Linked DNA regions of Oryzias latipes. The protein of the gene in region 2 purifies or fractionates together with the protein of the main gene of each other region. This does not show direct contact. Links are inferred from orthologs where the notes say so. Each region holds a gene or a part of one and is shown on either strand. Other genes may lie near its edges.

What was found. Proteins that work in one complex are often made in the same cells at the same time.
Region 1: the proteins of death domain-associated protein 6 (region 2) and activity-dependent neuroprotector homeobox protein purify together in Homo sapiens (affinity purification with mass spectrometry; 4 studies listed by BioGRID and IntAct, with this or other methods). This does not show direct contact. The link is inferred for Oryzias latipes from reciprocal best matches to the Homo sapiens genes DAXX and ADNP.
Region 3: the proteins of death domain-associated protein 6 (region 2) and baz1b purify together in Homo sapiens (co-immunoprecipitation; 3 studies listed by BioGRID and IntAct, with this or other methods). This does not show direct contact. The link is inferred for Oryzias latipes from reciprocal best matches to the Homo sapiens genes DAXX and BAZ1B.

The regions. Positions count from the first base shown.
Region 1 is NC_019865.2:4,532,913-4,537,053, reverse strand, and holds the start of activity-dependent neuroprotector homeobox protein, read left to right. Parts: upstream 1-1,331; 5' UTR 1,332-1,850; intron 1,851-4,141. Other genes in the region: dpm1 (dolichol-phosphate mannosyltransferase subunit 1), read left to right, coding at 362-466.
Region 2 is NC_019869.2:16,001,373-16,005,340, forward strand, and holds the start of death domain-associated protein 6, read left to right. Parts: upstream 1-1,167; 5' UTR 1,168-1,469; intron 1,470-2,824; 5' UTR 2,825-2,852; coding exon 2,853-3,095; intron 3,096-3,458; coding exon 3,459-3,860; intron 3,861-3,968. UniProt on the Homo sapiens protein: Transcription corepressor known to repress transcriptional potential of several sumoylated transcription factors. Down-regulates basal and activated transcription.
Region 3 is NC_019871.2:22,455,161-22,459,392, reverse strand, and holds the start of baz1b (tyrosine-protein kinase BAZ1B), read right to left. Parts: upstream 2,811-4,232; 5' UTR 2,169-2,810; coding exon 2,050-2,168; intron 877-2,049; coding exon 760-876; intron 1-759. UniProt on the Homo sapiens protein: Atypical tyrosine-protein kinase that plays a central role in chromatin remodeling and acts as a transcription regulator. Involved in DNA damage response by phosphorylating 'Tyr-142' of histone H2AX (H2AXY142ph).

The DNA.
Region 1 (4,141 bases), on a different chromosome or scaffold from region 2:
GGGTTTATATTTTTATAACCTTAATCCGTTTAATTTCATAAATCTCAAAATTAAATTGAACAATATGTTTATTTGATCAGTTTATTTCATAAAACACCTAGTTGTTTCACACAAAAGATGCATTAAAAAACAACGAAAAAAAATGTTTTTTAAGAGTATTTTAATTCAATTTATGCTAATCTTTTCTAAAATAATTAGACTGTATATTTTATATGGGCACATATAGGTGATATATGTGATTTATGTGATTTATTACGATCCGAACTCTTCATCCTTTACTTCATTAGTTTATTTAATGGAAGCTCAACAAACCCTTATGTCCTAAATGTTTCAGAGACATTAAAGTTCTTGTCTTTGCCAGGTTCCCATCTCCTTTGTGGACCGCGTCTACGGGGAATCCAAACTGGGAGGCAACGAGATCGTGTCTTTTGCAAAAGGACTGCTCATGCTTTTCGCCACAACATGATCATCTTGAGCTTTTGTAGTGGTCTCTCGGTCTTCAGGTCTGTGCGCAGAAATGTACCTGGATTATCAAAAAGTGGCACGGCAGCTGATGCGAAAAAAAGACGTGTCCCGGTTGGAAGCCTTTTCACGCACAGAGATTCTCCCATGTTGTTTCACATTCCCATCACTTTTTGCAAAAAAAACGGTTTAATCATTCCTAAATCAGACAATTCACAGAATGAAGGCGTTAGGCTGGTTACAGTTTAAAAATGTTTTTGTTTGTTAAAAATGATCAAGTCTTGCTGGCTCCTTTGTTCACTTATTATTATTATTATATATTTTTTAGTTTAGTTCATTAAATCTGAAGCAGGACTGTATAGACAACACAAATATCAAGGACACTTTATTGTAAAATAGGTGTTTAACAGTTTGAGTTCAGGTGTGATTAGCAGCAATGTAAAAGGAAAAAACAATTGCTCAATCTGTCTGGTCAAAATAAAGATGTTCTGGGAATATATTTGGATGTATTTTTTAACACCCTTTTTATTAGGAGCAACCATAGATTGTAAAAAAAAAAAAAAAAGACTGTTTTCACAGTCTGTATGGGAGTGAGCCTTTATCTCTGCTGCATTTCTTAGCGCCACCTAGTGTTCCGGCTGGGAACTTAAGTGCTGTACTCAAGAGAGTGGAGGAAAGAGGGTACACCAGATGTAAGCACAGCACGCATGCGCCGACTTAACCAAGCTAGTAGGACGCCCGCTGTCGGTTAGCTTGTGTAACTGCTTTTTAGGGTTGTTTATCCTCCACATGGCCTCTCTCAAAGCCTATAAAGCTTTTAGGCCTCAAAAGTATGTAATTGTTAAGGAAAATGTAATAAATAACGGCTTAATTGGCCGCTGATTGATGACAAACCAATCAGGGGCTTTCATTAGACGGCACGACCCGGGATCTCACAATAAGATGGTTTATGCTAATGATGCCGACGTCACTTCCGCCCCTTTATTTGCGCCATTTTGGATAGGGCAGTTTCCAGGCTGGATGTGTATTGTCTGTCAGGAGAGAATGGGCAAAGTGGATTCCGCTTCCAGGAAATTATAGGCAGAGTTTAGAGCATTTATTCACAGGAGCGGGCGAACCCGGTCGTTGCGCCCGCAGCGCTCCGGGGAAACGAGCCTCGGAATTATCTGATGAAGCTCGCGCGCCCACCGTTCCTGTTTGCCGACCACAGGGAAGAAAACAGCCCTCGTTGGAGAGGGACAGTCGGGTTTGGGGGGTAGAGCGGCAGCGGGGGCTTGCTATTCACCTCACGAACGAAGCACCTGAGCGGGCGAGAGCGGAGCAAGTGTCCCCACATCGCGGTGGTCGGGCGTAGTTCGGTCAGCCGGGCGCTGCGGACGCGAAAGCAGGTAAACTTGGAGGTCCTCCCGCGGGGGTGAACCCCGGGTGTTCGCCGTTAACCGTGGCTACCTGCTGGGTGGCTGCTAAGGTAACTCGTATACGAGGCGGGTGTTTATATGAACAGGGCGGGTCTCTGTAAACTCCAATATCTTTCAACTTCTTTATAAGGAAGTAAAATAAGAGTTTGTGGTTGATTCTGAGGCGACAGTAAGCCTATTCCGAGTCCAGCCCGTTGGTGCTTGTTTGTTAGCTTAGCGGGCTAACAGAGCGCGCGTGCGCCCTACTCTTTGTCGTTCTGGATCCTGCCAGATGTTGGACATCCCACAGATGTGTTACGGGGCTGATGCCGCGCACTCTGAGTGGAACTCAAGGATCTCTTCAGGTTTATTGGTATGGGCTCCTAAACGGCTCCTCAGAGGTGGTGACAGCTCAGCCTTCCCCCAATCCAGGGGGAAGGAGGGCTGCTGTCATTTTTTTCTGCGGGACGTAGTTCATAAGTTTGAAGAAAGTCCAACATGCAGAGGCTTCAGGATGCAGTAGCATTCAATTAATGAAACCTTTGTGGAGTTATGAGCAACTGCAAGAGTCAACACCCTCCTTATATTTAGCATTCTGTAGAATATTAATATTTCCGGACTGAGTTTGAGGTGAAAGTCCGTCCATCATAATTGAAGATTGGCATCCAGCCTCCTCAGAATCAAGGAATGAGAAACTTTTGCAGCTGTTGCAGTGGATGGAGACCCCCACCCCACCCCAGAAGCTGCGTGCACACCTGGATGGTGCTCCAGCATGTGCTCCCAGAGAGAACATGGCTGTGTCCTGCTGCTGCAGGAGATACAAAGGCCTCTTCATGTTGGAGGAGAACCCGTTTTCTGCCAGCAGAGTGGCCTCCTCTAGCATTTGCTCCCTCCCTCCTTCCTTCTCTCCTCCCTATCCTTTTTTCCCTCTCCCTTCTCCTCATCCTTTGCCCCCTCTTGCTCTCACCCTCTTCCCCCACCCCCTCTCCCCTGTTTTTCCTTACCCAAACCAGCCTCACTTCCTCTGCTCACTCCCCCCTTCCATCTCTCCCTCACACTTCCTTCACACTAGCTGCTCACCCCCCCTCTCCTTCTCTCACCCCTCTAACCCCCCCTCCTCCATTCCCTGCTTCTCACTCCTCCTCTTCCTCCCTTCCAACATCACTCCCTCCTCTCCTCTTCTCTCATCCCCTCCCCCTCCACTGCAGAGACCTTTTTGTAGGGGGCTGCTGCTTCCTCAATAGGAGGCGCCGTTCTCCATTGGTGTTATGAGGTGGGGGGGGGGGGGGGGCAGGCGGAGTGAAGGGAGGCTTACATAATGTCACTCCTCTCCAGCGCCATCTACAAGAAGGGGAGGGAAGCAGGAAAAAGGCCGAAGTGGGAAGTGGACTGAAGTCTGCCTCTCAGTTTTTACAGGTTATGGGGGGGGCGAGGGAGGCGATGGCAGCACCCAGAGTCCTTTGGGTGGAGGAGTGAACCGCCTCAGGTGCTCCCTGGACATGTTTGGCATCCAGCAGTTGTTTTTCCACTCTCTGTGACCTTTGACCTTCCCGCAAAGCGCCAATCACGTTTAATTAGGTGAACTGTTTTAGCTGTAGGTCTTTTCCAATCTGACCATTTGTTTTCAGCCACAGAACTTTCTGTTCCGGTTCATGTTGACATCCATATTTCAGTGGGTTTTCAAACAAATGCCCACGATTATCATGAGTATTCTGCCCTCTAAACACGCTTCGGTAAACAAAGAGGTTATTGACTTCAAAGACCCACTCCAATGAAAATCGTGTTTTTGGTGTTCTGAACAGGTTCCTTTGGTGTTTAATGTCAGTATGGAGGACATTTATTATGAAAATTGAGCTTAAAATTACATTTCTGAGAAAAAAAAAGGCTGTTGGAAAAAGTTGGTAGCTGTGACGTAGAAGCTGCTACGGCAAGCTACAAGCTTCCTGCTCGATTTTGATGAGTCAACATGTAGACTACTAGATCCATGATTTGGCACCTGTCTCAAACTTTGATCAAATTGATCACCATTTTTAATGCACTGGTATTGTTAGGTTGGGGTTGTGAGGGGCTGTAAGCTAGCGGAAGAGAACGTAAACAAAGGGATGATCTGAAAGGGATAATCATGATTAAAAGACCACTGGGAACTCTTTGAAAATGGATCAAAAGATAATTGGAGTGGGAATTTATATGTTTAGGTTTCTACCGGTTACTCTGAATCATTGATGAGGACTCCTGAGAAACCTTAACGTATTCTGATTTAAATTGAAAATTTCTGATTTTAC
Region 2 (3,968 bases):
GACCGTACCATTTTTACAGAAAATTATTTGACCACCCCTTTCTTTTAATGTTCTTATCTTGAAAGCATGACATCATAAAAACCGAAAGAACGCTTCAAGTTTCACTTTGGGGATTTCTAAACTGTGACTGGAGGCTGTGTTTTGTTTTGTTTTTTGAGAAATATGTTTCACTGAAGATGCAAAACAACTGTCCTAATTAATAAAGTAAAGCACGTTTGTAAATAGGAAGCCCAGAATATTTGTACATTGTATTACAATTAATGAATGTCTGTCTTTTTTTGTGTGTTTGTCAAAGTTCTGCTGAAATGTTGACAAAATTGTTGTAAAAATTCCAAAAATAAAAGGTTGTAAGAAGTCATTTTAATTGTGCTTTATCTGTCCATTTCTAAACGTTTATTATACTTGATGGCGTGGTTCTCCAAGTTAACTCTTCTTACATTTGGACATAATATGCATCATGATTAACCATGTTTTAACCAGCTCAGTGGCCTTGTGGTAGAGTGTCTGCCCTATGACTGGAACGTCGTAAATTCAAATCTAGGCCGAGTCATACCACAGACTCTAAAAATTGACACTCAGCATTAAGGGGGTGAATCCAATCCAGTTCCTGTGTACGGTTGTGTCTGCTGCTCACAGTCAAATGCAGAGAACAAATGTGTGACATGTAATGGTATTAACCAGGTTTAAAAATCACTTTATTATGCCCTACAAATGAGGAGTCTGAATGCAAGAAAATAATCTAGAATAGAGGAAATTTAAAGCTAAAACAACTGCAGCTTACGTAGGCAGCTAAATAATAGACATACTTTTATTACATCTTTTAGAAAAAACAGCTGCAACTTCCAGCTTTTTCTGCCACAATCATCACAAAAATGCATGTGAGATTGCGGAGGGACTGTACATCATGCAGACTATGAGTTGGATGCTGATGTGCCGCGGGATTTTTGTCAAGGATAAAGCGTGCTTTGGCTCTAAAAAGGTTGAAAAACACTGATCTAGAGCGCTCAGACACTCTGCAGTTCACTGTTTTTTCCACTAAATGTCTGTTTTGTTGGAGAGTGTACTCACAAATCGTAACGGAAGATCCGTAGAAGAAGACGTAGTGTTGTTGTCTTCCACTCTGGCCAATAGCAGACATTTTTACTGGATCTTTATTCTTTCCACCAATGAGAGGCCTTGGCATTGGTCTGAGTGTCGCGGGCACATTTTCGGTTTCTAGCAGTTCGTGGAGCTAAATTTACGAGATCTAAATTAGCCAAAAGACTTTGCTATCCTAAAAAACGCATCCATGAAGTATTAATAACTTTAATCTGTTAGTTAAATAACCAGGAAATCATGCCGTTTTTCCTATATTCCGTTTGGATTTACAAGAAAAGTTACAGTAGCTGCTCTGTTGCTAATCTTAGCTTAAAAACTGCTGTGCGTTCCTGAAGAGCAACATTTACGTTTCTATTGTTCCTGAATAAAAGGTGAGTGTTTTAATAATATGCACCCAGTCGTGTTTTCTCAGAATTATAAGCACCGTATCTGCCATGTTTTGTGATCAGTTTTTACAAAATTTCCTTTTGTTTTCACTTTAGATTAAGTTCTGTTGAATATTCGCCTTCATTTTTTTTCGTTGACCAGAAAACTACGAGAGAGACAGACTCAGGATGTAAAAGTAAACAGGAAAAAATTTTGGTAATTAAAGTTGATGTAAATCAGATAAGGCTACTAGACAGATTTTTTTTAATGTTGAATAATCAAAAGCAAAATAGACATCAGTGCTATTTGTCGTCGAGCCATTTCATTTTTGCATTCCGAGCATTTTCGTCTTAAAAATAAGTCTAATTTGTGTCGATCAGGCAACAGAAAAGTGCCATTTCTTTGTCTGCATCTCGGTATTTTCAGGTCAGCATTGCAGCCGTGTGGACGATTATTATTGCAGTGTTTTTATCTTTTTGGATCTTTAATAATCCTGTTTCACTGTGAGACGTTTTTGTCCACATTCTCACCAGATACCGTGTTGTGTATCTTTCTCTCTCAGCATCTCAGTACATCATGACCCATGCGTTGAGATTTTCATCTGTAAAATATATAACTAGCTTTGTGGCAATACAGTCCAATCCTTTAATGAATAAAATCTAGATTTTTATTATTCATTTGACATTTAGAACTATAAATTCAACAGCTTCCACGATTCAAACCTGCATTTAGGGCCTTCTAGACTGTTCTGTTCTTTATGGTTAAAACATCTCATATTCATTTATTCATACATTGTTAGAGGTGCTGGGAAAAAGGAGGGCTAGTTTTGTGCACACAACATCCCACTTATTTATTGTGGTTCAGTTAGTTTTCATTGATAGAAGCAGGCTTGTGATTGGACGTCTTGTGTTTTGGTCACTCGTGAAAAGGGCAAAAACAGTAGAGTCCACACCACGAAGAGAAACTGACAACGTTTACCAGAAACAACGTTTTTTTATTCCTGATGAATTTTATACCTTTTTACCAACATAATCATGTGTTCATATCTGTGGTTTTCATTGGACAGACAACTGTGCTTCCATTCAGGCTCTATGGGTTTGTTTATAAACATTTAAAATAAAATAAGCCAATTAGTAATAGATTTTTTTATATAAATTGATTTTTTTGGACCCCTGATAAATTATTAGTTGCTGGTTTTTGTAACAAGGACTAAACAGTAGGAAATAAGTTGTGAAAAATGTTTTTCACCACTGACCCCCCAATATTTACTAATATATGAATAGATTTTTGAAATCAATAATCCTTCCACGTCTTGCTTCTGTACCTTTTGTCACGACCAGCGTGTTTTTCCTGTTTGCAGATTCACAGCAGAATCCGTCAGGGTTTAGATGGCGGTGGCTCCTGCCTCAATGGGAGATGAGATCATAGTTCTGGATGAAGACAACGAGGACAGCCCCCAGCCCTCTTTTTCCGCTACTACTCCCTCCTCTGATCATGGCTCCAGAAACGCCTTACCGCCCAAAGGTCAGCACTTGGTGGCCGTGCACGCCGCCATGTCCCCAAGTCACCAAGTCTCAGGGAAGAAGGAAGCTCAGGGTCTTCTAGCTGAGAATCAGAAACTGTTCTCTGAGGTGAGCTGCTTCAGGTTTTTACTGAGCCCACCCTCTCTTCTGTGGTCTTCTTCAACTTCTAAAATAAAGAATATTTTAACACCCAGCAGGTTTTTGTTTGTGCTAATATTGCTGATATCTACTGTTTTTTTCCTTAATATTTTGTGATAAAATATGTTTTTATGTGCTTCGGAATAGATTGTTAGAAACATTTAAGATGTTAAATTGTTGAAAGCTTTTACAGTTCATCTGTTTGACTTTCTCTGTGAGTCACAATTGAATCTTTTTCTGTTTTGTAAAAGTCTTATAAAGGTGTAATATGAAAGGTGTAATGATCTGCATGATTCATCTTCAGTGTTTGATTCTCTCGTGTCTTTCCTGTAGTTTGTGGAGCATTGCTCCGCTCAGACCAAGGAGTGCCCGGAGGTCCTGGAATACCTGCAGCTGAAACACTCCAAGACGTGTCCAGAGTTTCTGTCCTCTGTGGAGTTCAGGAACACTCTGAAAGGATGTCTAACTCGCGCTCAGAACAACCGCTCCAAAACCTTTGTCTTCATCAATGAACTGTGCACGGTGCTCAAACAGCACAGGGATAAAAGGAGACTGACCCTCTCCAAGGCGGCGCCCTCTACCTCAACATCAGCTTCTGTTCAGTCTACCTCCGTTCCCCCTAACAGTGAGAAGAGGAGTGACGAAGAGCAACCTTCTACTTCTGGAGTGCAGGAAGACAACAAAGAGCAAGATCAAAAAGAGGAAAAAAGAGCTAAAAGGGCCTCAAGGAAACAGGTCGGTACAGACAATAAACCTAAAAAAAAAAAGACAGTCAGTGTTAATCCTGTACTTGTTTTATTCCTGAAATCAGACGATGCCAGACTAAATATCTGGAGCACATGT
Region 3 (4,232 bases), on a different chromosome or scaffold from region 2:
AATAAGCAACGTCTACATGCGTCTTGTGGTATTAATTAGACGTTGTGTGGTGAAGATTTTTGGGATTGTTCAGAAAAGTGTTCCTACTGTTTATTGATGTGTTAAATTAGAGCAGTCTGGACCGAATGTTTTGGTTTTTTCTCTATTGTTTGAGTTAAAAAAAACAATCCTGGTGACATAAAAGCAAAGGTTTGAAGTCTGTTATCATAAAAGATTTCAGAAAGCCATTTTTTATTCACCTCAAACTGAGGCTTTTTGGCAGCAATTATCTGAGAACAAAATTAGATAATTTTTATTAACTAATTACAGACAAAATAAATTACCGGTACTCAAAAAAACAAATGACACGACCTTTTACTTTAAGTGAATGCGCATCGCTTGCAGTGACATCCAAGCGGAGGAATAAAGTCAAAGGTTGCTACAAGTTAGACCTCGGTTTCTCAATACCAGGATACAGGAACTACCATCAAACTATTGCAGAAACGAGTGATGACTCACTCATCTGTCAAGGGAGGTGTAGCAGGCTTTTGAACTGCCACAAAGCCAGATCTTTCAGGGAAAGTCTCTTCTTTGACATGCTTTTATCAGAGATAATTCCCAGAGTGAGTAAAAATATGACTTGACATTTCTTTGTCAAATGCAAAGCCATCTTTTAAAAAAAAAAATACTTTCTCCATCTAAGTACAGGCTGTTTTACAAACTTGATAGACCGGGGGAAAAACAATAAACCAAGGTTTCGGCGGTGGTTCTGATACTAACAGTTCTGTGACTTCTTGCTCCTCCTCCCACGCCTCCTTGTGCGTGAGCTGCAGGCTTCCTGTGCTCTTGCATGTCCAGATGCGCTCGCCATACTTCTGCAATCGGGCTTCGTACTCTCTGTGCACACTTGGTCAAGGCAATTAGGATTTACAGTTCCACTTTTAGAGCAAAACAAACATGAAGAGTGAAATAAACATACAAAATTAATTAATTAACCAGTTAAACAGGAAAAAATTAATAGGCAAAAGCATAAAACAATGAATCTTTGCTGACAGAATTCACCCTAAACGTCAGTTTATCTTTTTATTTTATCTAAAGTTAGATTTTAGGATGAATAGATGCTTCAACGAGTTTCAGAATAATGCATAAGAACCCAGCATAATCCCATTATATCATTGGATTAAGGTGACATTTAAAAAAAAAACTGTTCTATCTATGGGACCACATTTTGTCAGGTGTAGTTAAAGGAGCCGCTCAAAAGTCCCCTTCACGGTGTTATCAGGAGAAGACCAGTGAGGTTCGCTGAACACCTTAGTTGTTAACATCAAACACTTTCGAGATTTTCCCCCAAACGAAAGCGAAATATAATGAGCTTTAAGACATTTCGACAATAAAAATCTGCCTCCGTTCACTCAGAGCGTCCGATTAACCTTGCTAGCTTTAGCGGACCAAATAATACACAGTCTAATCATGACCCAACAGGCAAAACAAGCAGTTACACAACAACTGCACTTGGCCTACTTGATTCAAAATAAACCTAAAAATATATATATTTTTTTAAAATACTTACAACTAATGCGTACTAGGCTAAGCAGGAGCTTAAGATGTTTGTGCTCACAGCAACGGCTAGCAGCGGTGACATAATGGGACACCTACCGTTAGCATGCCAGCCGCGTTAGCATCGATGACAGAAAGCTATCCAATTTAAAAGCAAAACCATGATTTTCACAAATGTTTATAGATTAGTCTATGTGTGTGTGAATAAAACTATTAAATGCGACAAGTAGCATCCTATTAACTATAATTTTTGGTTTAAATAAACTGTTAACTACTAGCTAAAACGTGACTTTTAGCACCACTGTTAGCTCGTCCCCCAGTGTTAACTCTACATGCGGTGAAACATTTAGGGGGGAAAAAGTCAGCGTGAGTCAAAATCTTTAACTACATAAACGTCTCTTAGAGCACGAATTTGTCACTTTTAGGACAGACGATTTATTAAAACTATTACTTTGAAATAACCCCTGGCTCGCTAAGGCTGTCCCAAAACAGCATCACGGTGAAGCAGGATACTCTTTGTTCCTGAAGGCCTCCTTGGTGTGCTCGATGATGTAGACCTCGTCTCCCGGGCCTGGAGCCTCGGCTAAAGGCTTAGCCAGTGGGTACGGTTTCCGGCCCAAAAGCGGTGCCATAGGAAATCCAGAGGTGGCAGGGTTGCCGGAGGTGTAACTGTATTTCCCAGCAACAATTTACGAATGTCGGGTTCGCCGATGTGTCCTTATCATGTATCCGAGAGCGCGTAGGGTCTATTCCGAGCGATGAAGCCTTTCACGTTACCGCCGGCAGGCCCGGCTCTCACTGTGCAGCAGCTAGCCGATCAGCTAACAGGCTGGACTGCTATCTCGTTACAAAACAATAACAGTGCACTTCTCAGCTCCGGCCTCATCGCACCATTATAGGACTTCCCTCACCACGACGGGTTGCTGGTTCAAATTCAATGTCTTAATATGTAATAAACCCGGAGTTACCCCTCTTGACAGTTTATAAACTTTCAGCTCCACGAATCGAAAACAAACTCGCGGCAACAGTCGAGGTAGCTGTACGACGGTAAAGTGTTATGAAATAGAAGCTTCTCGGTTCTTTAAAAGTGACCTTGTTGCTTAACGATCAGACTTTCCAAACATACGAGTTCCGAATCAGCAAGTGTTACGCGAAAGTAACCTGAATCAAACAAGAGGTTAATTCCTTGTCGAAATGGCGGGAGTTTCTAGTCCACCGGCACAGTTGTGTAAAACCTCAGCACCCCGTTTCCCCGGCAGCAAGCGGCGCCTCAGTTATTCCCCGCCCACTCTCGACTCCTATTGGTCCTCCCAGTGTAGCGGCCTTGTTGAATTACTTTAGCGGTCTGCGATTGGTCGAAACAACCTGTCTATTATAAGAGTCGGGAAGCCACTTAAAAATAAACCGTTTTTTTTCCCAAGGAGCAATAATAAATTGTTATTCTTTTTATTATTATTTTTTATCGAAGGCACTTTGCTTTTAGGAGAAACAAAATTAATTTAGTTTGAAACAAATCAAGAAATAAAAAAACAACTTTTTTTCCCCCCAAGTTTTACACAAAATGGTTTTTACAGTGAACTGAAAAGAACGTATCCACTGCAGCCTAGGGTGTGCCTCTTTTTTATAGCCTTGTTAAAAAAATAAAAAATAAAATAAAATCTGGGTTGTGATCACATACAGTTAGATAATTTGGCTCACCAAGCGTTGTTGTCTTTGGCAGCCCCTGACGGTGAGACAGGATTGTACAGCAAAAACACCAAATTTCACCAAGGATTTCAAGAATTTCATTACACTGACTGGATAATAGACTGGATAAACCCCTTAGTAACTTCTCAGTAAGATGTGAAGACTTGTTGTGACGCAGTAAATCTTGAATATTTTATTGCGTTCTAAAAGAGTTTTTACACAGTATTTTTAAGGTTTAATTTACTTTACACTATACTTTAAGCTTCTTTTTTTTTACTTTATTTTGGTCTATTTTTACCTTTATATAGTTAATTATCTTACTTTTTTTTCAAACCTAACATGTTTTTGTTACTTTATTTCGTTTTTTCTACTTTACATAGTATTTTTTTACACTTTTAACACATGGCATTTTTAATTGTGAACAGTGAGGGGTCTTGTTACGAGAAACAGACTTGCTTGATTTAAGAAAACTGAAACTATCTATTTGACTGTTTTAACAAATATACATTTAATCTTTAAGACAAACTTGTTTTAAAATGTTTAATTCCAGTCTTTCTCTAAGAGGAATATATGGTCTAAAAAGAATTGGACTGTTTATTAGAACAATGGGGGTAGGACGGTTGTGTCAATGAACCATTTTATTTTTGCAAGCAAAACATACATTTTTAGATATATTTCCAATAACCAGATTAATTTACCTAAATATTAGTGCTTATATTTTCAAGACCTGTTTTTTTCTTAAAAGGGCAGAACATTACAACTTCTCTTAAGAAAGTTTCATTTGTTCCATCACCCAATTGGTTTCACTCATATCAAGAATTAAAAACATTTTGTATTCAATATTTTTTAACTTGTTTTTGAGAAGATTATTTCTTTCAGTGAGTATTAATGTGTAAATCACTTTAGTTAGTTTCTCTGAAGTTATAATTTCTCTCATCATCCTTCAAAAAGGAAACAATTCAGGAACTGCAGAAAAAAACCTAAATAAAAACCTAACATGGGACTGTTTG